Caenorhabditis elegans: one gene and its partner. The protein of the gene in region 2 interacts with the protein of the main gene of each other region in a biochemical or structural test. Each region holds a gene or a part of one and is shown on either strand. Other genes may lie near its edges.

Region 1 (15,817 bases), on a different chromosome or scaffold from region 2:
TATACTGAAAATAGTTCTACTTTTATTATTATTATTATTATACTTTTTTTCAATTTTCACCGGTTAAACCTTTTGTTTCAAAATTCAGACGGCAAACACTTTTGCCTTTGCGGCTTAATAGTGTCAGGCTGTCTCATTGCGGTTTGATCTACGAAAAATGCGGGATTATTTTTCCAGAAAAATTGTGACGTCAGCACGCTCTTAACCATGCGAAATAGATGAGATATCTGCGTCTCTTCTCCCGCATTTTTTGAAGATCAAAGCGAAATGGGACTTTCTGACTCCACGTGGGTTTCAGGCAGGCGTCAGGCCCTAAAACCGTGCCTGTCTACCATGGAGGCCCTAAGTAAAATCATACAGTTTTTACATTTTTTGATTTCTAAAAAATATTTTAATGTTGTTTTTTCCATATTTTTCTTCTTTTTTGATCTAAAAAAAGATTTTCTCAAACTGTATTTTTTACGTCAAAAAAAACTAACATCCACCACTGCACATGATCACCGTCGCAATAATAAATGCAATCGGGAACCTGCCAATTATCTTCCCGCACACTTTATACATATCAGCCAACGAGATATTATTCACCGGACCCAACAGCTCAAAAGTCTTGTGTCGCGGCCGTGACGTGGCAGAAGCCGTCGTCGAGAGGACCGTCGGACGATGAACCAACTCGTCGCCCTCCATCTCAGGTCTCACCTGGAAAATGAAAATGCGGGAGTACTGTAGAAAATGACGGGAAACGTTTTGTGTTTAAAAAAAAGACGTTGAGAATCGTGGAAAAGTGACAAAAAGTGATAAAATGATGTGCTTTTTCAATAGCCACTAACTATAATATTATGCACCATGTGTGATAAAATGAAAAAAGATAAGAGTTTTTCGTATTATAGGTGTATTGAATGAATATTGAAAGGGATTAAAGTCAATGAATAGAAGGGAAAAATTGTTTATTTCTAAAAATGGAAGATATGAGATTGATAAAGAGATCATGAGTCAGAGATCAAAATCAGAAGGTACAAAAAATATTGGAATTTTTGTGTTGTTTGGTTTGAGAGTTCAATTTGCCTACAAGGCAGCCTACGACAGCTTACAAACCGACCAACGCAAGCCTAGAGGATCATTAATACCTGCCTATAAGTAAAATATGCCTGCCTACTAGGCGGCATCTGCCTGCCTTCAAGCCGACGACTTGTGCCTGACTGCAAGGATGCCAGCCACGAAGAAACCTTCACTTACCTGCGCCGGCTTACAAGGCAGCCGATGCCTAGTTAAGAAGCCTGCTACGCCTGCATCATGCCTACGCTTGCCTACTGGGCGGCTGACAGGCCTACTCATACCAGCAAGACAAACTACGCCTGCCTACAAAGCGACTGGCATCTCACCACAAGGCGGCCGAGGTCTGCCTACGAGGTATATTAGGTCGGCAGATAGGTAGGCACGTAGGCATGCGGGAAAGTGGCAAAACCCATAAAGTAGAAACAAAAAGTAGATGAAAATGGGTTCCTATCGACAGAAATACCTTTTTTTATTGGAAATTACTATCAGTAAAATTGATGGAGCCACCGAATATGTTGGAAATTCAGTTAAAAAATGGCTAGAAAAAAAGGAGTTCTACGTGGTTTACTGATAAGAGAAAAAAAATTGGTGGCCGAGTTTTGGAAATCTAGGCCACGGCCACGTGAACTTTTATTTATTTCGTGAATTTTTTCTACTCCGAGACAAAGAGCTCGAAGCTACAACTTGGAAATGGTAGCCGAGTTTTAGAAACCTAGGCCACGACCATATAAAAAGGGAACAAGCGACCTCAATAAATATTTTGAAATGAGAAATTCCCACCGAACAAAGTCTATATATAGGAAAAATGATTTTTGAAAAAAGAAAAATATATCGAAGGAATGAGTCATACGGGAGACATGAGATCATGAGAATTGAAATAAAACAGTCAGTTCTGAACACTGAAGAGATATGGGATTTTCGACAGAGAATTTGAGAAAAAGAGACATTTTTTTGAGAAATGTGTGACGGAATGAGGGGTCCGGGAGACATTTGATATGGGCAGCATAGGTGTGGGGAGCAGAGGTCGAAAGAACGTGTAGCCTAGTTTTTTGGATGGCCGAGTTTTTGATTTTTTCTAGGCCATATTGGTTTTTTTTGGACTTTTGGCTAAACTTTGTCGGAAAGTATTTCAAAAAAGGGAAAGGGGATTTTTTCCCATTTTTTAAAAGTTTTTTTTCTCAAATCTTCTAAAAAATTAGGGTTTTATACACAAAATCGCGTAATTTACACTACATGCTAAAATACACGCGGGGGGGAGGAGCCTGGAAGGGGAGTGTCGTTGCGACTTTTGACAGTGGCCATGGAAAACTGATTTTTATTAATGTTTTTTCATTTTAAGTCTTATTATAGAAAAAATACGATCGCAAAAAAATAAACAACGACACAACCATGGCCGAGAAATAAAATTGGTGGCTGAACTTTTGTTTTAATTTTTTTTCTTTTTTTTCGGCATATTTTTGAAACAAAATCGCTATTTGCTTTTGAATTTATCATTTAATAAACAACACGCACACTTTGCGGAGTATCGTTGTGAGATTTTTTTTTCTCAATTTTCAAGGGGTTCTGACCTACCTCATTGAATTTTTCGCGCTCCATTGATAATCTCTCACCGGGCAACGCGTGGGAAAGTCGTGTACTCCACACGGACACTTCACATTTAGTTTTACAACTAAAATCGAGGCGCGACGCGGCACGCAACGCGCCGTAAATCTATGCCAAATATGGCCGAGCCAAGTTGGCCTAGTTCAGCAAACTCTTCCATTTCAATTTATGAGGGAAGCCAGAAATCCGTGTCGAATTTGTAACCAAAAACCTTCAAAATGAATGTAATGAATCGAAAAATGAAATTTGTTGTTTCTCAGTGTTAACCGGAGACCCAGACAGTTGCAGAAATTTTTTGGAATAAAAAACAATAGATGGGCGCCCGATGTCGTGTGTTTTTTGGGAAAAATAATCAATTTGTAATAAGGTGAATATTGAATTTGGTGTGGATTTACGAGGGGATTGTTTTTTGAAAAACAATTTTTTTTTTCATTTTCATTAAAATTTTTCATCAAAATTAAAATGAAAATCACGGCTTCTCCCCAAATTTTTCGTTGTAATAGTCCTTGAGAGGCGAGAGATAGGGGGTACAGAGAGACGCAGACAGTGTCAAAAAATAAAATGAAATTTTCGGTGGTGAGAAAAGAGAAAGAGAAGAAGAAGAAGATCAATGGATCAATTGACGATGATTGATTGGGCAAAAAAAGTGCGATGGGCAAAAATTGAAAAAAATAGCCTTGTCGATTTACGCGACTAAGTGTAGATTTACGGGGAATTTTTTTAAAAATTTAATTTCAAAAATTGTTATTTTTTAAATTTAAATTTGGCATCTTATTTCAATTTCAATTTCGAACAAAAATTCAAAAAAAAAACTATACTGGTTGTCCGCGAGTAGTACACACCGGGTTTGTCGATAGAGCGCGCTTATCCACTGTTGCGGTTTGATCTACAAGAAATGCGGAAATTTTCGCCCAAAAAAAAGCGAAATCAGTTGAAAACTCTGCGTCTCTTCACCCGCATTTTTTGTAGATCTACGTAGATCAAGCCGAAATGGGACACTCTGACGCCATGTGCTTATCCAAATTTTCATAAAAAGTAAAAATGAACACATTTTGATTCCATTTCACTCAATTTTTCTCTCGTTTTTTTTTCTCGTTCGTAATGTGTATGTAAACATTGAAAGGGGGAGACGTGAATTATTTGCTAATTGACTCAATTTTTTTTGGCTGTCGAAAGAAAAAAGTAAGAGTTCACTTTCACTCAAGTGATATTTATTACAGGTGGGTCTCACCAAGAATATGGCCTAGCTTTGGATTTTGGGTCTCGAAACGAGAAGTACTATAGTATTAAGTTTGGATTTTTGGGCCTTGCTTAATTTTTTAGGTCTTAAAACGCTTTAGCAGCTGTAGGTAAATTAATATTGGGTCTTCAACCGAAATAAACCACAACTGTGCAATAGTTGGGTCTCGAAGCGATATTATAGGTATTTGGCAGAAAATGGTCGGGTGTTGGCTACTATGTATAGACGGGCGGTCAACCGGTAAGTTCACTCATAAGTGCTACCCCGCCTCCCACCATGATGATCTATACAATTATGAAACTTTGGTCGGAGACATTACAAATTGTTAATTTTTAATTTAATTAGGTCAACTTATTTGACGATTTAACTGAGGGTGGCCTAGAAAATGGAAATTCGGCCACCAAATGTTCGATAAAATTTGGGATAAAATTTTTGGTGGGAAATTCAAATTTTTTGAGACAAAAAATATTTTGGCGGGAAATTTAAATTTTCTGAGAAAACATTTTGGCGGGAAATTCAAATTTTTTGAGACAAAAAATCTTTTGGCGGGAAATACAAATTTTCCGAAAAAAATTTTCGACGGGAAATTTAAATTTTATGGAAAAAAAAATTTTTGGCGGGAAATTCAAATTACTTAGAAATTTGTGCTTCTAGGCCATTGTTTTAAAAATTATGGCCTAGAAAATAAAAACTCGGCCGCACAAATGCTCATTCCAAGCTTTAAATAATTTTTAACCTTTTTAACCCTCCAAAAAAGGCAAGAATCACCTGTGTAAATAATGGTTTATGAATTTCGGTTCGTCCTAGTTCATCAGTTTTATTTGTACAGGCTATCTCCACATGACCTCCCTTTAAAGTGTCAATAATTTTTTTTAGAAATTTAAAAAAACCGTAAACTTTAAAAGTTTATACAAGAAATGTTACACAGCAAAAAATAAATAATTGGGCTAAGCTATAAGTTTGCTCTGTTTGACAACATGTATCTCAGTTACTTTTGAAGCTATCAAAAAGTTTTTAATTACAAAAATATAGAAAAAGAAATAATAAACACTTTGTTGGTTGAAAAATTTTTGATAAAACAAACATGAAGCGAGATATAAGCTTTCAAAGTATATAGGTCCCGGTCGATGAACCATGTTCAAAATAGGGGTTTTTTTCGTGTTTTTTTTTCTAAAATTTTTTTTATTATTTTCAAATGCTTTGAGCCAATTTTATGATAATTTTATAATTTACAATTTTTAGTACTAGGGTGCGAGCGTACCCCAACGCCTTCGAAAAGTATGGCCTAGAAATTTGGAAAACTCTTCCACGCCCACGGGGAGCTTGTTTTTGAAATTTTTTACTAACCCATAATATATTGATCTCTAAGAAAAAATGAAAATTTAGGCTTTCAAAGAAAAAAAATGAAAAATTGGAAGAGCCGGGGGGTCTTATAAGAAATATAAATTTCTAGGCCACGGTCGCACTCCGGGTAAGGGGCCAAGCGTTTTAGAGATTTTTTCTTGCAAATTGCAGGGTTTATAATTAGAAAAATAAAAGGAAAAAATACAAAAATTGTGTAGATACGCAGATAGGTAAAGGAAAATGTACAGTCAAATGAAATTGGGGGGGGGGGGGGGGGGGGGGGGCTGATTGAGGTGAAAAAGGGGAAACCGGTTAGAGACAGGCAAGCGGGGTGGAGGGGGGGGGGGGGGGGGGGCAAAAATTGTATTCAATTGATTATTATTTTTGTTTCGTACATTCACATACCACTTTTTCGTTCCAAAAATTTAACAGAAATAGCTAGACGCAGACAGGTACAACGGGGAACAAGTAGTCGATTTAGAGGGGGGGGGGGGGTTGATTGTTTGTTAAGAGGGGCAGGTAAATGAGAGAGTAGTGATAGGGGGCAGACTCTGATTTATGAACTAACAGACAGTGTTTTATAAGAGAGGTACAAAGCGAACGCGGCCTAGTTTTTCCTTTCTCGGCCACTGTTTCTTTGAGCATGGCCTAGGTTTCTCCAATGAATTTTGTAGAGAAGGGTAGGGCATTCCACTTCACCCTAGTGGCCGTGGCCTAAATTTTCGTTTGAACGGCCGGACGGTGGTGTTAGAGTGTCTCGTTGTGGTTTGATATACAAAAAATGCGGGAATTTTTCCACGGAAAAAAATGACATCAGCACGTTCTTAACCATGCGAAATCAGTTGAAAAGTCTGCGTCTCGTCTCCCGCATTTTTCGAAGATCAAACCAAAATGGGGCAATTTGACACCACGTAAACCTCGTGGCCCAGTTTTTTTAAAATTCGGCCACCACTACCCGTGGCCTAGGTTTCTCTAAACTTGGCCAAAGGACGTTCAGTTTATCGTGATTTATGCTGACTTTTATCAGTTTCGAAAAAAAACCACGTATACCTCAGTTTTTCAGCCGTTTTTTGTTCGGAATTTGAGCACCGCAGTAGCTCCATGTTCTTCTTATCGAAGGTTCTGATTACAAATTAGAGTGTAGGAGTTAAATTTGTATGGAGAATTTTTGGTGCATTAAAAAATCTAGGTCACATGACAGAAATCTAGGCCAAATGCCAACAATCTAGGTCAGGTGCTATAATAAAAATCTAGGTCACATGTAAAAAATCTAGGCCTAGTAGCAAAAACCTAGGCCACTTGTTAAAATAAAAATCTAAGCCCCGTGTTAAAATAGAAATCTAGGCCACGTGTTAAAAATCTAGGCGAAGTATCAAAAATGAGAGCTAACTGAATGGTGGCCTAGGATTTTCATTACAAATTTTGTTAAAGATTCTAGGCCACGTCAAAAAGGGTGGCCTAGAATGTCTATGAAAATTGGTGGCCGAAGATTTGCATTTCTAGGCGTCGTAAGAAATACGTGATGGACTAAGACTTTCTGGGTCATGTGAGAACTAGTCCGTCTTTGCAAGACTCTAACTGGTGGCCTAAAACTTCCAGGAAAAAGCGCTTGCAGTTTTCTAGGCCACGTATCAATCAAGGGGTTTATAACCCTAAAAATGAGTATTTTCCTTGGAAAAAAAGGTCGTAATAAGCCAAATTTAGGTGTACACTGCTTCTATATAAATACGACAAAAAACTTTGAAGAACAATACACAAAAATCTTGTATTTTATATGTACATGGGGTTAATTCGATCAAAATTTTGAGTAATTGTCTTAATTAATTGCGCAAGTGCAATCATGCGCGCAACTTACAACACAAATCACAGTGATATCATTTGTTTGATAAAACGTCGGGAGGAGAGGTTTTGGTGGCTTAGAAATGCGGAAAACTCTTCCACTGGAAAAGTATTATCATCATATTGAAAAGTAAGTTTTAAATGTTATAATGGTGTAGTTTTGGCGAAAACGGATGGAAAATGGCCGAGTTATACTAATTTGAAATTTCTAGGTCATATTGGCAAGGGCGCTGGAAGAGGAAATCTCAACATTTCTAGGCCATCGTTCTAGACCCAAAGCTCACAGTGAGCATTGTGCCAAGATCATTTTATTAGGTTTTAGGGAAAGAAAACTGAATTTCGAATTTTGAACAGAGCGAAATTTTTTTTTTTTTGGAAATTCAATTTAGTAAACGAGCTCTGGTTTGGTGGTCCCGACGCGAAAAAAAAACAATTGAGTTTTTCCAAAAAATGAAAAATTTTTGCGTTGATGCACCATGTTTTACCACGGGGTTCTGGCCTTCCTCATTTAATTTTTCGCGCTCCTTTGACAATCGGCCGCCGGACAACGCGTGGGAAAGTCGTGTACTCCACACGGACAAATCACATTTAGTTTTACAACTAAAATCGAGCCGCGACGCGACACGCAACGCGCCGTTAGTCTACCCCAGATATGGCCGAGCCAAAATGGCCTATTTCGGCAAAAACTCTTCCATTTCAATTTATGAGGGAAGCCAGAAATCCGTGGTACCAACAAGAAAAAACCAAAAAAAAATAAAAAAGAAGACGAAATTGATTGTGTTCTGCTCGTCGTTTTTTCTTCGTCTTCTAGTGCCGCCGGAGCAAAAAGTGCCTAATTTCGGATGGAGTGAGGGGACCAGTGAGCAGTTCCTCTTCCTCTCCTTCTCTAATTCTCTCTCAATTTCTCAATTTCCAATTCTGACGAGCGGGTATCAACAATTCGACAGCGAAACTCTGAACAATTTATTTTAGGGAAAAAATTGAAAATTCAAATTTTCAGTTCAAATTGGTGTTTTTTTTTCAACTAAAAATTCAAATTCGACCGTGAGTTGCGATCGGCGCCACAGTTTTCAATGGAGCGCCCTTGCAAATTGAAATTTTTGGGATTTTTTTTACTTGGATCACGGATTTCTGGCTTCCCTCATGAATTGAAATGGAAGAGTTTTTGCCGAACTAGGCCATTTTGGCTCGGCCATATCTGGGGTAGATTTACGGCGCGTTGCGTGTCGCGTCGCGGCTCGATATTTGTAGTAAAACTAAATGTATTTGTCCGTGTGGAGTACACGACTTTCCCACGCGTTATCGGCGGGCGATTGTCAATGGAGCGCGAAAAATTCAATGAGGTAGGCCAGAACCTCGTGAAACGCTTCAATGGAGACATTTTGTTTGGTTCGCTAGAGCGCGCTTGCTACACAATTTTTCTTCAAATTTTGAGTATTATTGACGAAAAATTGAGAAAAAAATAACTTTTTTCAAGAAAATCATTGAATTTTTCTTTTCTTGGGTTAATCGGAAATATTCAAATTTTTATAATTTTTTTCGGTAATTTGAAGGTTAGTTCGCTGGAGCGCATTTGTTGTACAGTTTTTTTTATTTAAAAAATCATTGCCGGAAAATGGCAAAACAAATTCAAAATTTCATCGTTTTTTTCAGTAATTTAAATTTTTTGGTGGCGGTTTTGTTTTGTACGCTGGAGCGCATTTGCAACACGGTTTTTTTTTTCAAATTTCGAAATTTCTAGTCGTAAAATGGAAAAAAAAATGAATTTTTAGAAAGTTTTTAAAAAATCATTTTAAAGTTAATTTTCGCTGCGGGACCCAAGAACACTTTACGAAAAAATCAAGAAAAAAGCAAGAGCTCCCCGAATCTGATAAAAGCTAAAACGTGGAGCAATAAGAAAAATCGAAAGTCCGAAATAAAACGAATGAGGCTATCCATCCTCTCCGCTGGTGCAGAGAGAGAGGAGAGACGCAGACAGCCGAGACATGAGTGACCAAAGGGTCCCGTCCTTCTCCTGCAGGGTTCAAAATATTGATCTTCTGCTCTCCGTGTGTTCCGCATGGAAATTCTGAAAGTTAAGAAAACCTAAAACAACAAAAAAGGCTCAAAATTTAAAAAATTAAATTCATTACAACCAAATCGAGGAATTGTGTTTTTTTTTGTTTTCAAAAAAAAAAGTAGAAATTGTTCTAATCGGGGGGTGACGGATTGGTTGGGGGGATGCATTTGAATTAATAATCGAGAGCTGCTTCCGTGAAAAAAACTGGAACTAAGAATGACAAGGACCAAGTAAGAATAAGGCGCAGATTGGGTGGTGGTGGTTGAAATGGTTGAGAAGAAGAAAAGCAATGAAGCAATGGACACAAAAAAAATATTTGAAAAGTGGTGGAATTGTTTTTTTGTTGTTGGAATTAAACGGGAAATTTGGAAATTAAATCCAAAAAAACTAGATGCTTTGTCTATATTCTAAATATAGGTACATACCCAGAAGGAAAGGAAAGAGAGAGAGAGAACCTAAGCAAGTGGTATCACAACACGAAAATTATCACACAAATTCGAAAAAAAGAAACATTAATTGATGGAGAGAAAAAAAAGGAAAATCAATGGGGTGTGGGTGAGAAGAAATATGAGGGTTATACAATAATTAGGCGGCCAGCAAAACCAAAAAAAAACAACGGGAGACTACTCGTTTCCAAATCCTTCCGTCATCTCGATCGCCATGCTCAACTTCTCGACGAGCTGATCGTAGCTTCTGTATGGCGGCAAGTCGAGTCGATTGAAGCACGTATGCGACCGTGGGAGCCAGTTCTCCTTGCCGACACGCTCGATACAGAATAGTTGTGGTCCCGTCGAGCCCATCAGCTCGGAAAATCCACCGACTGGCACACGGCACGTTCCTGTGACGAATTGTAGGAGCCGGGCACGTTTTTCTTGGTCCAGACTTCGAACCCATTGCCAGAACCAGGTTACCTATAAATGTATTTTTTAATTAAAAAAAAAGAAGTTTTAATCAAATGTTCTCCCCTACCTGCTTGCTCTGTGGAGCATAATGTCTGTAGACAGTATTTCTCTGCCAATCGTCCACATCAACGTCCTGCATTCCGCAGAGCAACAGCTCGAGCTCTCTTTCATCGAAATACTGCATCCATTCCAACGGGAAGACCGAGTTGAAGCCGGTGAAGAAGGCTTTTGTCTGTTGTTCGACACCGCGATTGAAGCGCCACTCAACGAGCAGTTCGATGTATTCAAGCTGGAAAATTGGGATTTTTTAAATTAAATTATTTTATTTAAAAATTATTTTTATAAGCTCTAGCTAATCCAAAATCTCACCTTATTCTCCTCGGTAACAGCAATCTCTGTACCGCCCTCCTTAAGCTCATAAGTCTTGAGCTCGCCGAGCAGCTCGTAATCGGCAACAAAATAGAGCTCCATATCGCATTCATCGATATTGTTATCCTTGATCCACATCAATGAATTATAAATTTCCGAATCGACTTGTTCAATGTCCTTTAAAACAATCTTCTTGTTGAGCATCTTTTTGTAGAATGGCATCGTGAAACCGCTGTAGATGAATTTCCCGTGGAATAGCGCCTGGAAATTTGAAAATAAAGGAATTTTCTAAGAAAAACTATTTGTTTAAATAAAAATAACATTTTTAGGAGAAAATGAAATATATTGATCTGAAAATTTGAGATCATCGAAATTTCCAGGTTTTTTGAGCTGAAAATAAAAAAAATCGATATTTAAGGATTTCCTTCATCAAAAAACAAAAATTTTAGATCCAAGTGCTTTTTTTTGGAATTTTCTGCAAAATTTAACGTTTAAAATTTTAAAATTCAATTGTAAAAAGCGGAAAACTCGATTTTCTCTCGATTTCGCAATTTTTCATCCAATTTTCAACTGATTTTCAATTAAAAAAAAACACTCACCATGGCAATGAATCGTCCAATATACTCGAAATACTTAAGATGATCCGGGTTAACAAATGAAGCTGGATTGATTTGAAGACTATAATTGTTATTACCAGCATACATGAATAGGCAATACATTGGATTCAACACTTCGTGCGACAGCAGGAAGAACCATTCTCTGGCGACACCTCCATAGTCGAGACCCTCTTCGCCTCGGAATTGAATGTACAGCCGCCGGCGTAGATCGACTGCATTTTTACGCATAATTTCTTGGAATGAGTCTTCGAACACGTTATTACGGGATACTGTGATTTTGACATGATTAGGCACACTGTTTGACTGAAATTTACATCAATTTATAGCTAAAATCAAAGAATTTCTCGCCCTCCCTTACCAAGCATAAATATCTGAATTGTGCAATTTTCCACCGGAAACTCTTCTCCATGGCCATTTGAACACCGACGACGCCGAGCGGGCCGACGGGTTTTCCGGTTCTTGGATCATTATAGGTGGTGGTTTTAGACTGGTGATCGATGAAGAATGGAACGCCTTGCTCGGTGAATCGCATTTCCCAACCATCCGGAAGAGGTTGGTCGGAGCCTCTGAAACTTTTAAAACATTAAAACTGTGATTTTTGATAGAAATATTATTGGAAAATTGAAAATTTTCACATACCCCTGTGTTCTCGGATCTTCCCATTGTGTCGTTCTATTTACATGATTCACAAAGTACATTCTCGACGTATTCGGATCCTGACGCTTCTCCCATCCTTCGGGCAATGGTCCGAGTGGATCGTCGGCGCTAAAGTTGTTCTGCTGGAGAAGGAAACGTTGTTCCCATTGAAGCATCGCCTGATCTCTTCCCGATTGCCATTGTTCGTGTGCTTCAAGCATATCGGCTGTCGGTCGTTGCCAGGTGGTCGTGCGCGTGTTGTGATCCACGTAATACACCTGAAAATGGATTGTGCACCTGGCGTGAATTTTTAGACATTTTTCAAGTAAAAATCACTGGAAAGTTTTTTTTTTTTCGATTATCAAATAATTGGAGACCTTGGTTAAAATAAAGAAAATCAGAATTTTTTATCCGTCGTTATAATTTCCTAATTTTCAGGCCGTATTTAAAGAAAAAATTTCAAAATTTTCTCGAAAAAAAAAATTATGGAGGATCAAAATTACGAAAAATTGCCTGAATTCAGCAAAAATCTTCAATTTTGTCAGTTTTTCTGTGTTGGAAGTTGATTTTTACTTTATTTTTGGCCTATTTCGATGCAATTACAAAAATTTGACAAGAAATCAACAAAAATAAGACACTAATTATGTAAAAATCAAGATTTTAGCCTTAAAATAATTTATCAGGTCACTTTTTTCGGCATTTTGGTCCAGGTATCCGCGGCTACGGTAGATATTTTTAATTTTGATGATTTTCGCATCAAAAATATAATCAGAAACGCTTTTCTCGTGCTAAATCTGCTTTTTCCGCCGGAAAACTCACTCTTCCTCTCGGATCTCTTCGCATTTCCCATCCCTGTGGCAATGGCTGAGTAGACGGGCGTTCCCACGTGGTGCTCTTGGTGGTGTGATCCACGTAGTACTTGCGTCCGTATTGATCGAAACGCATCTCCCATCCATCGGGAAGCTGTTCTTCTGCTCCGGCGGCCGGGGTGCCGCCTGCTGTTGCTGCTGCTGCCGCCGCTGCGGTACTCTGCAAATGAAAAGTAAACATTAAGAGTAGTAGAGTAATGCATGTATTTGACAACATTTTGTGTATGATTCTGTAGCATTAAAAATGCAGAGAAAAGAATAAAAAACGCTCATTCACGCTCTCCTCTAGTGTTCATAATTATTAGAGCGCGCTCGCGCGGCACCTCACGAACTCCAGAATTCGCGGGATTTCGTTTCGCGGGGACAGCAGTTTTTGGCTATTTTTGGCTTCTATGGAAATTATTTTTAACGAAAACTGAAGGTTTACAGAGAGGAGTCACCACGACTTTCTTTAAAATGTATCAGTACCGTCAGTTTTTTCGATTTCAGAGTCGTAAAATATGTCATTTTGTAGAGAAAAGTCTGTTTCAAAAAAATCCATGTTTGAAATTATGAAATTGTTCTTATTAAAAACTGAACGATTGAAAAATTCGATTTTAACGTAAACTTGTTGATTTTTTGAATATTTTTATATTAGAAATTAAACAATTAAAATATCAAACATGGATTTTTGTGAAACAGACGTTTCTCTACAAAATGACATATTTTACGACTCTGAAATCGAAATACTGACGGTACTGATACTTTTTAAAGAAAGCCGTGGTGACTCCTCTCTGTAAAACCTTCAGTTTTCGGTCAAATTTCATAATTTTACACATTTTCAATTTGGATGATGCTTCTCAACAATATTTTAAATCAAAAAATTAAAAATAATTTCCATAGAAGCCAAAATAGCCAAAAACTGCTGTCCTCGCGAATTCTGGAGTTCGTGAGGTGCCGCGCGAGCGCGCTCTAATAATTATGAACACTCCAGTAGAGCGTTTCATGAATAATTAAATAATTCAAAATGGGTCTCGTCACGATTACCGTTGGAGCCGCCAAAGTGTCACGCTTCGCTGTCGCCGGTCTCCGCGCCGAGGATGACGTGGCAACGCCATTTGACGTGGATGCCTCTGAACTTGCAGACGCGGCGGTTTCAGCTCGTACTCCTGCGCTTCTTCGTTTCCGCTCTGGATATCCGGAGAAAATTATGTTGAGAGTTCCGATTTTCGAGGAGTCTTTGGCCAGCAAAGATATATTGTTGATGTCGTTTTTGACTGAAATAATAGATTTTTTGAGAAAATTTCAATAAAACCACTTACACTCTCCATTCTCATTTCTTGTGAGACTCGAAAGCTTCAGCTTCGCCATCCCTAGACACGTGTCATCGAATAGCTTGGCTTTTTGCAATAGACGAAACGAAATTGTCGAAGATTCATTTGCATGAACGTTGAGATGTTCATTCCACTCGGGCGCCATCGTCTTCTTCTTTACAGTCGTCTTTTTTGGCGCCGCCGATGACGTGTCACTCGTGATTTCGACATAGCAGTCGGCTGCCTTGGTGAACGACGCGTTGACGACTATGATTAAGAGGGGGAAATATTATTAGAACAGATGCAAAAAATCTACGAATTGTTACCTTTTACTGTGACTTTTGATGGTTTTGCCGACCCGTTTTGTTGTGCTGGAGTTCCATTACTCCCGGAACTACTCGGCTGCTGAGATGATGGTTCATTACGAGCCATTCGATCATGAAACTGGCTGAAAATTTCGCAATTCCAGAAAAGATTTAGAAATGAAAAGTCGGCGAGAAAGGAAAAATAAATCCACGTATCACAAATGACAGCGAAACGGTGGGAATGAAGATGTTAAGTACTACTAGTCAGTATTATCGATCGATTTCCAACTGATAACACTGGAAACCATGTGAAAAAATCTATAACAGCTCGCAGTAACTTGCCATTGGCTGCTGGTCGATGCGTTTTGTCATATGACCTGCACATCTAACGCCGTTTCGCCCGCGCATTCAAACGTGTTTGTTGGGGCGCGCTTGCTATTCAATAGCATTTTTCACATACACACAATTGGTATTTGCTGTTGATATAAACTGGAATGTCATGATAAAGTGATAGCAGGTGAAATGAATCACAGTCATACGAGTAAAGAATTGGAAGAAGTGAAAGTTCTCGATCAATAGAGGGGTGTTTTACACAAACAGTGATTTAATTGTTCTTTTCTGTAAAAGGTAGGTCAATTCGAAGATGCAATTGTTTTTTAAACATAACAAAAAAGTTAAAAAAGACTGATAAACGTTTACTTGGAACGGAAAACGGGATAAGCAAGAGATACAACGATAACAAGAGTATCTGCAAGGTCATCAGGAAACAAGCTACATGGTAAGGCTCATGATGGCATTGACGATGTCATTGTCAGCTTCCTTAAGCGCCCTGATGGCCTTGTTGCGGGTGGTGTTGGCTTGGGAAATGACAAGCTCGATGTCCTTCTCCTCAATGCCGGTGGAATCCTCCTTAAACCGTACAATTAATGTAATAAATCCGATTAAGTTACTGAATTACCTCAACATCCTCATTCTCGTCCTCTTCGACAGTCTTGAGTTGTGGGGCCTCACGAGTTGGCTTCAAGTTCTCAATAGCAGACATCTGGGCGTGTTGGGTGAGATCCTCGATCTTGGCTTCTCCGAAGATGATGTAGGTGTCAGATCCTGGGCTCTTGAACACGTCTGGCTTGTTTATGACGAAGAGGATGTTCTTCGACTTGCGAATGCAGACACGGGAGACACCAGTCACTTGCTTGAGTCCGAGCTTGGAGAAGAGCTTGCGGGCCTTCTTCTCGGAGCGGCTTTGCTTGGCCTGCTTGTCGATGTGATCTCCAAGTCCAGCAGCCTCGGCCACACGTCTTTGCTCCTCGGTGAGCTCTTGCTCGACGGCCTCGTTGTCGGAATCATCCGAAACGTCAACTTGTGGCTGAAATATAGAAATTTAAATATTTTAGACGTCACTTTGAACAACCAACCTCCTTGACTTCCTTCTGGCGAGTTTCGGTGCTTCCGGTCATTGTTTAATGTGGTAACCCTGAAAAAAACGTTTATGAAAGTTTACAAATTTGAGAGAAACAGGAGTTTCAAAGAGAATATTACAAAAAAAAGATGAAAAACTTGTAAATTCAAAATATCCACACATTTTTCTTGGTAGGAAAGCTTTAATCGAGGAAATTCAAGCTAACTTTTGCACAATCTTAGAATATACCCATTACTACTTATTCTAGATTGGATTTTCATGTTTTTGAGG
Region 2 (16,309 bases):
AACATGGAAATGGCGGAAGTAATGTGTCTAAAAGAGCAGAATTTTGGTAAGGAAGTTTCTGGAAAAGGTCTTTAAAAGTTCAAGATTTCAATATTATTTGGTAATTTTTCAAAATTTTCCAAATTCCCAAAAAATGTAACTTATTTTTTCAGTAAATTTATATTTTTGGTAAAAATTCAAGTGGTTTAAAATTCGATTTTTTTCTGAATTTTTCGGCGGGAAATTCAAATTTAATGTTTTTTAATTTGAGCGCGAAATTCAAATTTAATTTTTTTTTACATTTAGGGACGAAATTTAAATTTAAATTTTTCAAAAAAATTAGGCTCGAAATTTAAATTTAATTTTTTAAACATTTAGGCGCGAAGTTTAAATTTAAATTATTTGTTTTTAATTTGAGCGCGAAATTCCAATTCCAATTTTGCCGTTTTTACTGAAAGTTAAATAATTGTCTTTCACACTCAAAAAAAATTAAGTTTAATTTTAAAATTCTTACATTAACTGTTTAATTTTTTGCGGAAATTCAATTTTTAATTTTTCTTAAAAAATTTAAAATTTTAGGTCAAAAGAGCAGTTTTTTTAATTAAAAAAAATGGCGGGAAATTCAATTTTCGCTCGAATTTTAGCAGGAAAGTTAAATTTAAATATTTTTTTAATTTAGGCGCGAAATTCAAATTCCAACTTTGCCATTTTTTAACTGAAAGCTCTAATATGAGTATAGTTTGCCATTTACTATCGAAATGAACGTGTCTGGGATGAAAATTGAAAAAAAAAAGAGAAAAGTCACATGGAGCAATTAAATGTTATTTTCAATAAGGGAGGAAAATGGCAATAAAAACTAGAATTTTGTTTTGTTTTTTTTTAGCTTTTGATCTTTGTCCGGAGCATCGGCAATTTTGGTTTGTGCATTTGAAAAAAAGCAACAAAAAATATATATATGTATACATATAAATCATTTATTTTTACCGAAAATGTTTGAATTTTTGCAATTTCAATCCAATTCTATCTCCATCACTACCAGCTTCTTTCTCGGCGGCTCGATACCCAAATTCTTCAAATTTTCAGCCAAATCTTCATCTTTGTCAGCATATTTTGTCAGCGCAAGTGCAAGAAGTTGACGGTAATTTGAAATTTGTAAAACTTCATCTTTATGGCCATCTCTCATAAGCATTTTTTGCATTCTCCACCCAACGATTTCTTCTAGTTTTGGACTCTGAAAATTTTAGACTTTTAGAAATGTTTGCTTTTTTATTAAAAAAAAAAACCACCTTAATATGAACAATTGCAGTATCATAAACCCCTAGAAACACGTGATGTTCCTTTGATGCAATAAGGTAAAACATACGGGTCACCTCGTCGTCTAATGGGAACTTGGCAAGCAACCGAACCTGAATTTCTCGATTGACATGGTCTGAAAAATAAATTTTATTTATAGGTTTTAGCTTGAATGGATAGAAAATAAAATTCTGATCACTTTACTAGTTGAAAGTTTTTAAATATCTCTAGCCGTTTCGGAGATATACGCGTTTGAACTTTTGGTTGAAGACAGGGAGAGACGCAGACAGCGAGAGAGGGCGCACTCTCTGCGTCTCCCCTCCTCTCTCAGTCTCTAGAGCTGGAAATTTCAAACCAGGATAACTTTTTAGCGAAAAGAGGTATCGAAAAACTATCAAAAGACAAAAAATTCAGAAAGTTATATTTTATAACATTAATCAAACAAAATTAAATTTTAGATATTATTTCAGTTTTAAAACTACACAGTTGTTTTTTTTTAAACAAATATAACTAGTTTATCGTGTAGAATATTAAATTCTGAACATTTGTGTAATTGGAATTTTTAAATATCTTTAATCGTTATGAAGATATACGCGTTCAAAAATTAGAGGGTGAGGAAGGAGACGCAGACGACGAGACAGTCTGCGTCTCCCCTCCTCCTCTACTCTCTATGTGCACCCTACAATCTTCTAACCCCTGTAACTTTGCAACGGCTGGAGCTATCAAAAAATTTTCAACTGACAAAATGTACAGAAATTTCTGTTTTATAACATTAATTAAACAAAATCAATATTTAGATATTATCTCAGCTTTAAAACGGGCCCGTTTATTTTTCTATTATTATTAACAAAAATAACTACTTTATCGTGTAAAATTTTAAATTCTGAAAATTTTTGTAATTGGAATTTTTTAAATATCTTTAATCGTTATGAAGATATACGCGTTCAAAAATTAGATGGTGAGGAAGGAGACGCAGACGACGAGACAGTCTGCGTCTCCCCTCCTTCCCTACTCTCTCCGCGCGCGTGCACCCTACAATCTTTTAACCCCTGTAACTTTGCAACAGCTGGAGCTATCAAAATCAAAAAAATTTTCAACTAACAAAATGCTCCAAATTTTGTGTTCTACACTTTTGTAGTTGACAATTTCTCCATATCTCGCATAGTTCACAAGATATAACCCACCAAACTCGACAGTAGCTGTCGTATTCCAATGTAAATGCAAACATCTCGCCACCAATACATCATTCAAATCATGAAACGTCAACCGAGTTTGCAGTGCACCCATACGATGTCCGTGAGTTCCAAAAGTCTCTCGGATGCCACGTATTTCCTCCACAGGAAACCCATCCGATCCGAAAATGTCCTGGAGGGATTGTTCGACAGGAATATGGTATTCCACCCAGCGTTTTCGTTCTTCGGTGTACACCAGCATAGTTCGGGGGCTCTGAACTGGTTTTAAATTGAAATTAGTTAGAAATTTATATTCTTATAAGTTAGATACCATTAATTTAGCGAAACACCGATTCACTGGATCCACTGCAATTGTAAAAAGTGCACTGTTCCGTTCGGTGTCATCTCCTGCCGTTGGAATTGAATTTTTCAAGATTCGAAATGTTTTTGTAGATTCTTCCAACCGTATCGTCCAAAATGGAATTTCTCCTTGGACAATGGATCTGTCGTAGAGAACAAGCTGTCCGCCTGAGTCACATCTGAGCGTCACACTGTCCAGTGGCACTTCAAATACACGGTAGAGCTCTTCAGCTGCGTTGAGGCTGAAAATCATGTAGTTGACTAGATAGAGTATTAAATTCTGATCATTTTTCTAGGTGGAAGTATTTTGATATCTCTTCCCGTTCTGGAGATACAAGCGTTTAAACTTTTAGGAGAGAGGGGGAGACGCAGACAACGAGACAGTGAAGTGATCTGCGTCTCCCCTCCTCCCACACTTTTTCTCATCGCGCGCACCACCTGAACTTCAATTCTCCATAACTTTGTTAGGAAAAGAGCTATCAAAAAACTTCCAACTAGCAAAATTGTCTAAATTAAATGCTCTTTTACATGAAAACTTACAGAAACAAATCCGCTGTTCCATTATTCTCCAAATCGAATCTTTGCACAGCAAACGTTGCCATTTCTCGCGCCACTCTCAAAAAGAGCACATAGATGTACCGAAAATCCGGTGATAATGTGGAAAATGTGTAGGACATCTCACTAATATTTAGTTTTGCAATTTGATGCCAATGATACGGTAGACGAATGTCAATTGCGTAGAATTCCAGAACATGTTTCACTTTTACGTAGACATAGATGGTGTTTTGTTGGATTCCAAGGGGCTGGATACGGCCAGGGCGCCGATTCGGAAAATATTGGGTGTGCATTTTGCTGAAAAATCTTAGAAAAATTGTAGCGGGAAATTCAAATTTTAGTATTAAAAAAATTTTGGCGAGAAGTTAACATTTTCTGTGAAAATAAGGATTTGGCGGGAAATTCAAATTTTCAGATAAAAAAGTTTAGGCGGGAAATTCAAATTTTCAAATAAAAAAGATTTGGCGGGAAATTCGATTTTTTTTATTTAAAAAGTTTTGGCGGGAAATTCAACATTTTTGTATGAAAACTATGTGGCGGGAAATTCAAGTTTTCTGATTTATAAATTTAGGCGGGAAATTCAAATTTTCAAATAAAAAAGATTTGGCGGGAAATTCGATTTTTTTTATTTAAAAAGTTTTGGCGGGAAATTCAAATTTTCAGGTTGGAAACGTTTTGGCGGGAAATTCAACATTTTTGTATGAAAACTATGTGGCGGGAAATTCAAGTTTTCTGATTTATAAATTTAGGCGGGAAATTCAAATTTTCTGATACATAAGTTTAGGCGGGAAATTCAAATTTTCGTATTAAAAAAATTTTGGCGGGAAATCTAAATTTTCCGGTTAAAAAAAATTTTGGCGGGAGATTTAAATTGTTTGATTAAAAATATTTCGGCGGGAAATACAAATTTTTTGATTAAAAATATTTTGGCGGAAAATTAAAATATCTGAGAAAATTTATTCGCGAAAGTTCATCCATATCTTGAAAAAAAAATCAATTTTCGCTCTAATCCTCCCACTCTTTGAGCCACTTGTAGAAAAACAGGATAAAGTGTAATAAGAGACGCAGACAGGAAGAGATTTGTGAAAAAAAATCAAGAAAAGTTTCTGGAAAAATCTACGAAAAATGGTAGAAATTGATGAAAAACTTGAATTATTATACATTCGTCAGTCTTATTTTTCTACGGGTGTGTAATATTTTATTACGTTTTCTAATATAAGTTTTCTTTGAAAAACAAGCAAAAACGGAAAATTTCTTCAGGAAAAATGGGGAAAAAAGAGGAGAGGGGGAGAGACGCAGACAGAGAAAGATCAACATTTGGGTAGAGGGAGAAGAGACGCAGGAAGTGATGGAGAGAGGTTTTTTATTTGGAAAAAAACTATTGTGAGGGGTATTTTATATTAGTGAAGTTTTTTCAAAAAAATTTAAAAAATTCGAAGAATATTTTTTTTTGGAAATTTTCTTTTTGAATTTTTTTTTTGAAAAATTGCCAAAATGGTTATTAATTGTCAAATAAAATAATTTTTCAACTTAATGTATTATAAAAACTAAATAGAACAAATTTTCCAAGACAAACATTTCAAAAAAAAAAACCAGCTTTTTTTCGAAAATTTTCAATTTTCAACTTTTCCAAATAGTTGAAAATCTAATCTAAAATTTTAGAAAAAACTGGAATTCTTCATTTTGTGAATATGAAAACATGAAAATAATAATTTAATAGTAAGTATAATGAAATTTTCAAAAAAAAAATTTCAAAAAATTTTTTCCAAAAATTATTTTTGAATAATTTTGAAAGGCTCAAAACCTTTCCAATTTGGTTTTTTTTCAAATTACTAATCTCTGAAAAATCAAAAAAAAAAACACAGAAAAAAAAATCGATATGTATTTATTGATTTCCACGTGGGGGGGGGGGGGGAAAGTGAAATGTGACAAAAATTAATATGACCGTATTTAGTGATGATACCAAGCATTTTTTGAGCAAGAAAACATTCAAAAAACTGTAAAAATGACGTCACGATGTTGAGACGTGACTGGCGGGAAGTTTGAAAATTTTTGAAAAAAAAAACTTTTTTCAAAAATTTTCCAAAAAAAATGTAATGACCGGATAAAAAGTTGAGAAATACATTTTGGGAACCCGTAATTAGTTAATCTGTTGCACCATGTTTTTTTTGATTAGAAGTGGCGTTTCATATGGAGTGAGAGATGATCACTTCGGGAGAAGGCACGTGAACATTGAGAGCACTTGAATGGGCGGTCTCCTGAAAAAAACAATTATTTTTGTTTTTCTTAGCATTGCAGTGCATAATTTAAATAGAGCTCGACGAGAGCTTTCATTTAAGTATAATCATGACTAGGTTTGGGAAAATTTGAAAATTTTTAGGTGTATGCGCCTTTAATTCACTCAAAAATTACCTGTATGTTTCCTATAGTGCCTTGTTAGCTCGTCAGATCTAGCAAATCGCCAATCACACCCGTCCCAACTGCATTCGTATGGTTTTTCACCTGAAAAATGATTTTTTTCATCAAAAAATTTCTAAAAACAACTTTAAAGAGAAGTTATCAAGATTTAAAACTGAAATTTTCAAACTTTTCATCCAGAAAAACCTATATCCTTCGACAAAGAATCGAACCTGTGACCTTCTGGGTCATAGTCTGACATCTTACCGACTGCGCCACGCGCGCACTGCGTGCCGCGCCAGTTGCTGGGCGCGACGGCGCTGGTGGCGCAATAGGTAAGAGAGATGACTGAGACCCAGAAGGTCCCAAGTTCGATTCTTTCTGCATGTTTTTGGTTTTTTCTGGGTGTAATGATTGCTTTTTCAATCTAGAAAATATTTTGTTCAGTACAATTAACAAAGTATTACCTGTATGAGTTCTAAAATGAGCCTTCAAATGTGAGCTTTTCGTGTAGACTTTCCCGCAATTCGGATGTGTGCAATGGTGAAGCCTCTTGACAGATGGTTCAGAAGCATCATATGATGAGCTCGGGCTCGGCTCGCAATTTGAATCCTCGAGGGAAGAGTCCACGTGGAGTCTTTGCGAGGCTTCTGCCATGTGGGTTTGATGCTCTTCCATTTGTTTTTTGATAGCATCCAACTGAGTTTTGATGGCCATCGGATCGACTTGACCATTTGCGTCTGGCATTACAGCTAGACACGCTGAAGCCGTCAGTTCGTCTATTTTTCGCTTAAACTCCAAGGGGTCAAAGTTTTGGTAGACGAAGGAGTTCACAGAGCTGGATACTGAGCTGGGAAGGTCTGATGTTGATGACACACTTTCTACGTTCACTGTGAGAGGTTCGTCTAAAAATTAAAAAACATTTGAAGTTTTGATTTTTCAAAAAAATATTTTGAAAAAAAATATTTTGGAGAAAATTTTTTTCAGCACAAAATTGGTATTATAATTATCTTGTTTTCAAGTTTTGGATATTTTATTGTAGTCAGCTTGTTAAGACCTTTCAAGTGACCCCCATCATGCTAGGTTCTCCCCATGTTGGGTCCCACCACGAAAATTCCCCAGGAGTACTGTAGTTTTCGTGGTGGGACCCAAAATGGGCAGAGCCTAGACATCATGGGGGTCATTCGAAAGCTCTTGATGTGATGAACGCGAAAAAAGGTTATTTTTCGAAAAATTATTTTTGAACTAAAAAAATATTTTTTACCTTAATTTTGTTTTTATCGCTCTCAACTCATCAAGAGCTTCAAAATAACACCCATCATGCCTAGGTTCGGCATATTTTTAAATTTTTAACCCTATGCGCCTTTAAATTCTGGTTCTCGCGGTGAGACCCAAAGTGGGCGGGGCCAAGGCAAGATCGGTGTCATTTGAAGGATCTTGACGAGCCGAGAATAGTTAAATTGTGAAGTTTGACGACTTTTTTTAATTTTGAAGAAAAAATTTTGAAAAAAAATTTTGTGGAAAATTTTTTTTCCAGAATTAAAAAAAAAATTTTCCGCAATTTCAAAACCTTACCTCTTAAATCAAAATTCATTGCGGATCTTTTGACACACGGACTTGTCGGACTATCCATGTCAGCATCCTCCACAACAATACTCTCATGATCCTGATGGCCTGAATCTCCGGAGCTCGAGGAAGCGATATCGAAATTTGAAGTCGAATGAATCAGCCGAATTGGGACATTTCTAGCCATATTCAGGTTAAGATTTCGAGATTGTGGAAGCGGGTCTCGATTCAGAATGTCGGAAATCAAATGGCCCCCGGGGCGCCGGGTATCCAGATTTTCTCGAAGCAGGACTGGAGCGAACGCACCTGAAAATGATTTTTACTTTGAAAATTTGAATCAAGCTAGCCAAGAGCTTTCATTTAAGTATAATCATGACTAGGTTCTGACGATTTTGAACTTTTCAATAAATTTCCGGGTCCCACCACAAAAACTACAGTATCTCTCATTTCTTGTCATACAATACACTTTAAACTAAAAATATGAATTCAGCACACTGAGAGCTTCAAAATAACACCCATCTTGGCTAGGTTAGGTTAAGTTTGAAATTTTCAAACCCTATGCGCCTTTAAATTTAGATTTTCGTGCCGGGACCCAACAAGTTGAAAATTGAAGATCAATATAAAGTTTTAGGCATCGTGAATGCTAATAAAATTTTAAATGAACAGATGAAATATTTGTCAGTGACCTCTAAGCCTGCACTTCCGGGTCCCGCCACGAAAATCAAAATTTAAAGGCACATAGGTGCTTTAAAATTTAAACTCACTGGAACCTAGTCATGATGGGTGTTATTCAAAAGCTCTTTGCACGACAAATTCAATTTTTTCTATAATTTTCAAAAAAAAATTAGTTAGAAAGTTTAAAAAATTGAAAATTGAAAAAAAATCACAAACTTTTCTTGACTTGCATGCCCTGAAAAGCTGCTCCGAGAGCTGTCGTCGGTGTGTTGAATCCGGAAAATGACGACATTGACTCTGAAAAATATATGACAATTTTTACAAATTCGGAGGGTGTTTTGCAGGGGTGTCCCTGATAAGAAATTTTCTTTAGGCGTTTTCTTTTTTTTAGGTGATAAATTTAGTTGAGTTTTTAATTTTTGCAGAAGAATATGATTTCTTCTGCACATTTTGAAATGGGAATGGTTCCGATATCTTGAAAACTGGCAGAGTTATCGATTTTCGAAAAATTTCGAAAAATTTAAAATCGAAAACCTTTAAATTTTAACGCAGAGATTGAACTTAAAACTTCAAAACAATTAAATTCGAACTCAGCACGTTGAGAGCTTTCAAATGACACCCATCATGCCTAGGCTGCGTCAATTTTAGGTCCAACCACGAAAACTACAGTACTCCCGGGGAATTTTCGTGGTGGGACCCAAAATTTTCCAAACCTAGTCATGATTATATATATTTTTCTGAAAGCACGTAAAATTTACAATTCGAATAGTTTGAAAACTTGTGAGAAATACTGATAGTTTTCGTGGTGGCACCCAAAATTGTGGGCAAATTTTCGACAATTTTCGAAAATCGATAACTCAGCGAAAAATTGAGATTTACATAAGATTTTTTGTTTGACAAACACAACAGAAATTGTTCTTTCAGACAAAAATACTTTTCGCAGCCTGGAAACTGTACCTACAGTACCCCAGATCTTTTTCGTGGCAAGACCCAAGAAATTTTCAAAATTTTCAAACCTTGGCATGATTATACTTAAATTAAAGCTCTCAAAACGCTGAATTCAGATTTTTCAATCAAAAATAAAACCCACTCTGATGCTCTGCAATAAAATCACTTTTGATCTGTTCCAGACGGTCATTAAATGAAGTTGTCGGTTGGAAAAGGCTCTGAGTTGAGTCAAAATGTGAATTTTTATATGGTGCAAATGCAGAAAAGTCCGATTGTCTTTCGAAAACCGATGAAGAACTTGAACTTGTTGCTGCTCCGCTATCATTTCCAAATGTCTGCAAAAAAAACACATTTTTAAAGGATTTTTCAATTTTTCCATATTTAAATCTGATTTTTATGCTTAGGCTTGAGCTCAGGCTTAGGCTTAGGCTTTGGAGTCAACTTCGGCTTAGGCTTAGGCTTCGGCTTAGGCTTAGGCTTCGGTTTAGACTTAGGCTGAGACTTAAGCTCCTGCTTAAGCTTACACTTAGGCTTTGGCTTATGCATACGCTTTAGCCTAGGATTAGGCTTAACCTCAGCCTTAGGCTTAGGCTTAGGCTTAGGCTTATGTTTATCTATTTCTTGGTCTTTTTTCGAAATTTTGCGGTTAATAAAAGTTTTTTTTGTGAAATCTGTTCCATTCTAATATCGATTAATTAGTCTTTCGTAGGAAGATGAACAATCCGGTCTAGATTTTCTCTATTTTCTCAGCGCTCTCTCAATCTTATCAATCACTCTCTCTCTCTCTCTCACTTTATGTATGTGTTTCGGTAGATAGAAAGAGAGGCGCCAACGCCCAATGTTCTCCCTACTCTCTTTCTCTGCGTACTCTCTCACTCTCTCACTCTCATTTTTCTTTTTCTTGCGAAACAAGACGGTCGCCGCCGCCGACATCAAGAAAAGACGGTAACCACACCCAAAAAGGCGGGAAAATTGAGAGTGACAAAGAGACTGAGAGATAAGAGGGTTAAAGGACATGTGACTACTGTAGCTTTGAAATTTTGGTGGTTTTTCGTTGTGGGACCTTGAAAATATGAAAATCAAATTCAGCTGGGTGAGAGCTTTCATTTAAGTATAATCATGACTAGGTTTTGAGAGGGAGTCTTAAAAAAATTTAATTTCCGGGTCCCGCCACGAAAATCAAAGTTTAAAGGTGCATAGGCCTAACATAATATAACCAAGATAGCTGTATCTCAAAAAAAAACGAACATTTTCTAGCTTCCTCCTCAACGCGTTGGCCTTCAGCCTTTCGTAGGCACTTGTGCTCTCGGAAAGTTCCCGAATTGATTCGTAAAATTGATGTCCGAATTGATTAAAGCTTCTTGTTGCTTCATGTATCCGCTGTTCAGCATCGTCGTTTTCAGATGAAATTGAGGAGAGGCCTGAAAATTTGAAGATTTTTGGTTATATTTTTGCAAAAAAATTCAACGTTTTCTGCACATTTTGAAATTGGAATAGTTCAAATATCTTAAAAACTCGCAGAGTTATCGATTTTCGAAAAATTTCGAAAAATTTCAAAAAATCAAAACTTTTAAGGCACAGCTTGAACTTGAAACTTCAAAACTGTTAAATTTGAACTTAGCACACTGAGAACTTTCAAATGACACCCATCATGCCTAGGCTCCGTCAATTTTAGGTCCCACCACGAAAACTACAGTACTCCCGGGGAAATTTCGAAATTTTCGAAACATAGCCATGATTATACTTTTCTGAAAGCTCGTGAAATTTTAAATCTGATTATTTTTAAATTTCGGGCTAGAAAGTCATAGTTTTCGTGGTGGGACACATTTTTATTGAAAATTTTTTGTAATTTTTCGAAATTCGATAACTCAGCGAAAAATTAAGATTTTCACTTAATTTTTTCTATGGCAAACACAACAAAATTTATTCTATCAGGAAAACATATTTTCAGTGATGGTATTAAATAAAAAAACATCTCTCACCTGGTTGAAAAAAAGACGGTGACAAATGTACTGATCTATCCGCCCGCGCCAATGGATCAATTGATAATGATGGTTTATTAGGAATGTGTATTAATGGTTCCCGTGATGACGTGGCATTTATCGATGATGACGTCATCGTGGATGACGTGGAATTGAATTGTAGTGTACTTGATGAGGAGCTGAGTGACCCGGAGCCTTCCGGCCCAAACATCTGCAAAAATCGATATTTTTATAGATTTTTTAGAGGGGAAATGGGTAAATTGTGAAAAAGTACATAAGAAAATCTAAATTTGAGAAAATTTTGAAATAATTATTTTTTGAAAAAATTTGAAAAAAAAAATTTTGAAAAAAATTTCAATTTTTTGCTTTTCGATCTTTTGCTCATTTTTGAAGATTTCGATTTTAAGTTTGGTTTTCAATCTATGAAAAAAATTTTTTAAAGTGATTTTTCCCTAAAAACCCCAACAAAAATTTCCAAAAAAGGCGTAGTCTTTTACATTTTCGAGGGTAATGCATCGCCTCCTCAACACACAGCCGAAACAAAAAAAAAAGATAAAAACCGAAACAAAAAACTTGATAAAGGAATAAGAAAATGAAGAAATAGACAGAAACGCAGAGATACACAGAATCGGCCGAAAAAAAAATGGTAGGGAAAATGAATTGTCAGCTGAGAACGGGAACAGGAGAACGTGTCATGTGACATTTATGATTTTTGATTAGAAAATCAGAGGAATTTCTTGAAAAATCTCTAAAAATCAATAAAAATCTATCATTTTTCGTTTTTGCAAAATTGGAAAAAAACAATTTCGAGTTTTTGGCCTAGTGGCTAACAGAGTTGGCTGGGACTCACAAGGCCGGGGCTCGAATCCCCGATGGGGTCAAAATTTTTGTCGAGTTTTGTTTGCATTGTTTATGCTTTGAAAATTGACATGGTAGACGCTTTGACTTTGAAAATGAAAATTCACAAAAAAAAATCGAGATTTTAGTTCATTTCCCGAAAAATATCGATTTTCAGAAATATTTACATAAAAATTCGGGTTTTCCACGAAATTTCCGTCAATTTGAGACCCATATCGATTTTTTCAAAAAAATTAAATTTTTGGCCTTGTGGTTAACACGGATGGGTGGGACTCACAACACCGGGGTTCGAACCCCCGCTGGGGTCAAAACTTTTTTCCAATTTTTTTTTGGTATGTCAGAGATTTTTATTAACAACATTTAGTTCAAACCGTAGCGGACTGAAATTTGGTTTTTTTTTAATTTTTTACTTTGAAATTTTCAAAATTAAAAAAAAACAATTTTCAGCAAAAACGAATCGATTTTACAGAGTGAGAATAGAAAGTGAAAATAGTTGAAAAAACTAGAAGTATTAATGAGACAGAACTAACTACACGTCGATTGTAAATGTGATGTGACAGTTAGTTTGAGACGCACAGAAGAAACAAGAAAAAGATGAAAAAAGAAGAGAGAGAAATGAAAAAGGAACTGAACTATATAAGAACAATCTTCCAAATTAATCGATAGTTACACTAAATTTCGGCGGGATTTGTTAAAATAAAATTTGTGAAAATAAAAACTAGTGATTTTCCGGAATTTTCATATAAAAATTCGAGTTCCCAATAAAATTTCCGTTAATTTGACAACCATATCAGCTATTTTTGAATCATTTTGAAAAACATTTGAAACATTGAATTTTTGGCTTAGTGGATAACACTGGTGATTGGTAATCTCAACACCGGGGTTCGACCCCCACTGTGGTCGACGTTTTTTTTTTCGGTTTTTTACACATTGTTTACAGACTAAAAATGTGTCGAAACTTGAAAATTTAAAAAATAATAGTTGAACTTTTGGCCTGGTGGATAACAGAGATGACTACCACCCACAACACCTGGGTTCGAGTCCCCACTGTGGTAACTTTTTTTCTTATGTTTGATATCTCATCTACACTGGCCTCAGCGTGTTTAAAATGCCTTCTTTATGTAAAAAAGGCGGAAAATGGGTAAAAATTGATGAACCGCATCGAAATGAGTCTTTATCTCGGTGACAGCGACGGGAAATTTAGTTCTAGTGTTCCGCAAAATCGAGAAACTCAAATTAAAATGTTTTTAAGGTCAAAGATATGAAAATAAAATTCGAAAAATTTCACAACCTTTTGTACTGTGGACTTCAAAAAATGTCAGCAGTTACGGGAATATCATAAGACATAGTGGGGGTGTCATGTGATTAGTAAAAATTGGAAAAAAAAATGTAATATTAGTTTTGTGTACTATAAAAATTAAGAGGAAAACATTGAAATTTTGAAATTTTGAAAAAAAATTGGAACTTTTTCGTAAAATTTTGCAATATCTCGAAACTAGCTATGCAAAAAAAAATTGAAGACTAAAATTTTATAACTTTTAAACTTTTGGATACAATGAAGCTATTTTTCGAAAAATGATACGGCCACAGACAAAAGAGAGAGCAAAAACTTTAATATTTATGGCCTACGCAAATCAATAGTCCTAAAAGTTTCCTATAAGTTGGTTTTTAAAAAAGTTATCTAGCTCATTTTTCCGCGGAGTTACGCCACTTTGAAGATATCATGCGAGAGAGCGTAGGGTGAGGGGAGACGCAGCGTGCGCGCGCCGCCTGCGTCTCTCCCCCTCCCACTCTAACACCTGTTACCTTTAAACTTGGATATCTCTGTTGAGAGAAGAGCTAGAAAAATACTTTCAACTGATAATTTGTAGATAATTTTAAGGGCTACATTTTGAAGGTTAGCAAATTTTGGAATTTTCAAATAGTTTTTGAGAAAAAACAATTTCAAAAAATGTTTCAAGTGGATTTCCAGGAAATCTCAAAAATTCCAATGAAGGGCAAAGTGAAAGACACAGAATGAGAGAAAAAACGAAAATACATACCACACACTGTTTCTTAGATGGATGGTGGTGGGGGGAGAAGAACAGGGCGTCTCCCCGCGGGCCGCCGCCGTCTGCTGTTTCCCGTGCAAAATAGGCGGAGCCAAGCAGGCCATACAAACACACACACACACAAAGAGACTGTCACTTGAGAGAGTGCAGAGAAGCAGAGAGACAAGGGTGTGGTAGAGGGCACGGGAACAAGAAAGATCTAATGATGATGATGATGATGATGATGCGGTTTCTTCTTTTCCTTCTGGAGAGGAAAAAGAAAAATGACTGGTGGTTTAGAAGGTCTAAGGGTGTGGCTAAGCCTTTTAGGTTTGCAAAAAAAACCTTTTTTCTTTTACAAATATCCTATATCTCCGGAAAAAACGTTTGCTATCAAAATTTTTTAATTCAGAAAATATAGTCCTTAAAATTTCCCATATTTTGTTAGTTGAAAATGTTTTGATAGCCTTCCTCCCCGCTGAGATATGCGCAATATAAGTTTGAAAGGGCGAGACAGTGTGGGAGGGGGAGAGACGCAGGCTAAGCGCGCACACTGCGTCTCTCCCTCTCCCACACTATTTAGCTCCTGTGAACTTTAAAGGGTTATATCTCTGCGGGGAGAAGAGATATCAAAAAGTTTTTTTTTTGACTCCCAAAATATAGAAAATTTTAAGGGTTATATTTTGTTAGTTGGAAATTTTACTGTATCTCTCTTTTCGACCGAGATGTACGCGTTTAAAATTAACTCAGAAAAAAATTGAACGTTTTGAGAACCTGCGCTTTTCCAAAATTCTACTCATTTTCAAAATAATCCGGTTTTAGAATATTTTTTTAATAATTACATACTCATTTTCTGTCCTAATTCCAAAAATTCGCTGACGTTCCCATTTTGCGTAAAAGAGAAAACGCCCAAAAACCCTTGGCGAGAGATCGTAAAAAATTGATAATTCCGGGTATATGCGGAAAGGGAAATTTCAAATTTAGGTCAAATGAGATAAGTATCTTAAAATTGGGCCGTTTTTTGTTTTATTTTTCATAGAATTTTCAATTAAAGTTCAAGCTCAAGTGCAAAATACGAAAATTGAAAAAAATAGTGTACAGCAAAAATATAGCCATTGAAATTTCTCCTATTTTAATAGTTGAAAATTTTTCTTAGCTCTTTTCCTTTCAGAGTTATGCCATTTCGAAGATGTGCAAGCGAGATAGTGGAGGTGGAGGGGAGACGCAGTGTGCGCGCGCCGCCTGCGTCTCTCCCCCTCTCATTCTCTCTACCACGCCCGGACTTTAAACGCAGATATCTCTGCTGAGAGACAAGTTAGAAAAATATTTTTAACTGAGAAAATGTAGAGAATTTTAAGGGCTATATTTTAGTAGTTAAAAACTTTTTGATAGAATGTTTCCCTGCAGAGTTATGCTTTTTTGAAGATATCTCAGTTGAGAGACGAGATAGAAAACTATTTTCAACTGAGAAAATGCAGAGAATTTTAAGGGCTACATTTTATTAGTTAGCAAATTTTTGATTTACTAAGTAGTTGTTGAGATAAATCCATTTTTTCGAAGGAACTGATGCTTAACACGTCAAATGTCTGGAATTCCTTCCCATTCTTAAGGTATTAAATGAAGGTTCATTGCTGATTACGATTCACCCCAATTTGACGGTAAAGAGAAACGCAGAGAAACGGTTTATTACCCCGTTTTATTTTTTCGGTGTTTTAATGACTTAAGAAGCAAGCATAGAAAAATGGAATTTCTTGTGTGTGACAGGTGGTGCCTGGTCACATGGAATTTGGAGCAGTACAGGCAGAAAAATTTTGCAATGTTTTATCAGTTGGTAGTTTTTATGGCCTTTTCAGCACAAAAATGCAAAAGTTCAACATTTTAGAGATCTTTACCAACTTTTCAAAAGTTGATCACTAACAAAATAAAGCCATTAAAATTCTCCACAATTCCTCAGTTAAAAACTTTTTGATAGCTCTTCTCTCCGCAGAGATATAATCTTTTAAAGTAAAAGGGGCAAAATAGTGTGGGAGGGGGAGAGACGCAGCGTGCGCGCGCTGCCTGCATCTCTCCCCCTCCCACACTCTATCGACATCTAAAACTTTGAACGCGCATATCTCAGCGGGGCGTGGAGATATCAAAAAACTTTTAACTAACAAACTGTAGAGAATTTTAAGGGCTATTTTTTGCTAGTTAAAAACTTTTTGATAGAACGTTTCCCTTCAAAGTTATGCCTTTTTGAAGATGCTAGAGGAAAAAGTGGACAAATTTTAATTTCAAGCAAAAAAAAAATTGAATAAATTCGGAGCAAATTTGAAATCTATGGAATTTCCCAAGCAAAAATGCTCCCAAATGTTTTGCGAAAAAGACACAAAAAAAAAGCGAAACTTTTAGTGATAAGGGAGATGATAAGCGACAAGAGCATGACAAACAAACCGTTTTCTGTGTTTATTTGTTTTTTTTTACCCTCTCAACTAATGGACTTGTTGTAGTCTGT

The links.
Region 1: of the proteins of klf-1 (region 2) and wwp-1, one has a biochemical effect on the other in vitro, tested with the Caenorhabditis elegans proteins (one study listed by BioGRID).

What each region holds. Positions count from the first base shown.
Region 1 is NC_003279.8:535,575-551,391, reverse strand, and holds wwp-1 (E3 ubiquitin-protein ligase wwp-1), read right to left. Parts: upstream 14,271-15,817; 5' UTR 14,255-14,270; coding exon 14,149-14,254; intron 14,090-14,148; coding exon 13,832-14,089; intron 13,787-13,831; coding exon 13,557-13,786; intron 12,691-13,556; coding exon 12,481-12,690; intron 12,307-12,480; exon of another isoform or gene 12,150-12,306; intron 11,940-12,149; coding exon 11,665-11,939; intron 11,598-11,664; coding exon 11,384-11,597; intron 11,329-11,383; coding exon 11,008-11,328; intron 10,670-11,007; coding exon 10,409-10,669; intron 10,329-10,408; coding exon 10,107-10,328; intron 10,049-10,106; coding exon 9,761-10,048; 3' UTR 9,194-9,760; downstream 1-9,193. Other genes in the region: ptr-21 (SSD domain-containing protein), read right to left, coding at 480-684; icd-2 (Nascent polypeptide-associated complex subunit alpha), read right to left, coding at 14,899-15,036, 15,086-15,493, 15,543-15,584. UniProt on the Caenorhabditis elegans protein: E3 ubiquitin-protein ligase which accepts ubiquitin from an E2 ubiquitin-conjugating enzyme in the form of a thioester and then directly transfers the ubiquitin to targeted substrates. Ubiquitinates klf-1.
Region 2 is NC_003281.10:2,869,647-2,885,955, reverse strand, and holds klf-1 (Kruppel-like factor 1), read right to left. Parts: upstream 11,139-16,309; 5' UTR 11,064-11,138; coding exon 10,928-11,063; intron 10,367-10,927; coding exon 10,194-10,366; intron 9,281-10,193; coding exon 9,088-9,280; intron 8,295-9,087; coding exon 8,214-8,294; intron 7,629-8,213; coding exon 7,332-7,628; intron 6,662-7,331; coding exon 6,224-6,661; intron 6,042-6,223; exon of another isoform or gene 5,968-6,041; intron 5,862-5,967; coding exon 5,772-5,861; intron 5,625-5,771; exon of another isoform or gene 5,618-5,624; coding exon 5,532-5,617; 3' UTR 5,280-5,531; downstream 1-5,279. Other genes in the region: F56F11.2 (BTB domain-containing protein), read right to left, coding at 989-1,210, 1,266-1,408, 2,457-2,718, 2,776-3,046, 3,345-3,652. UniProt on the Caenorhabditis elegans protein: Transcription factor which modulates genes involved in lipid metabolism and the phase I detoxification pathway, including cytochrome P450 oxidases.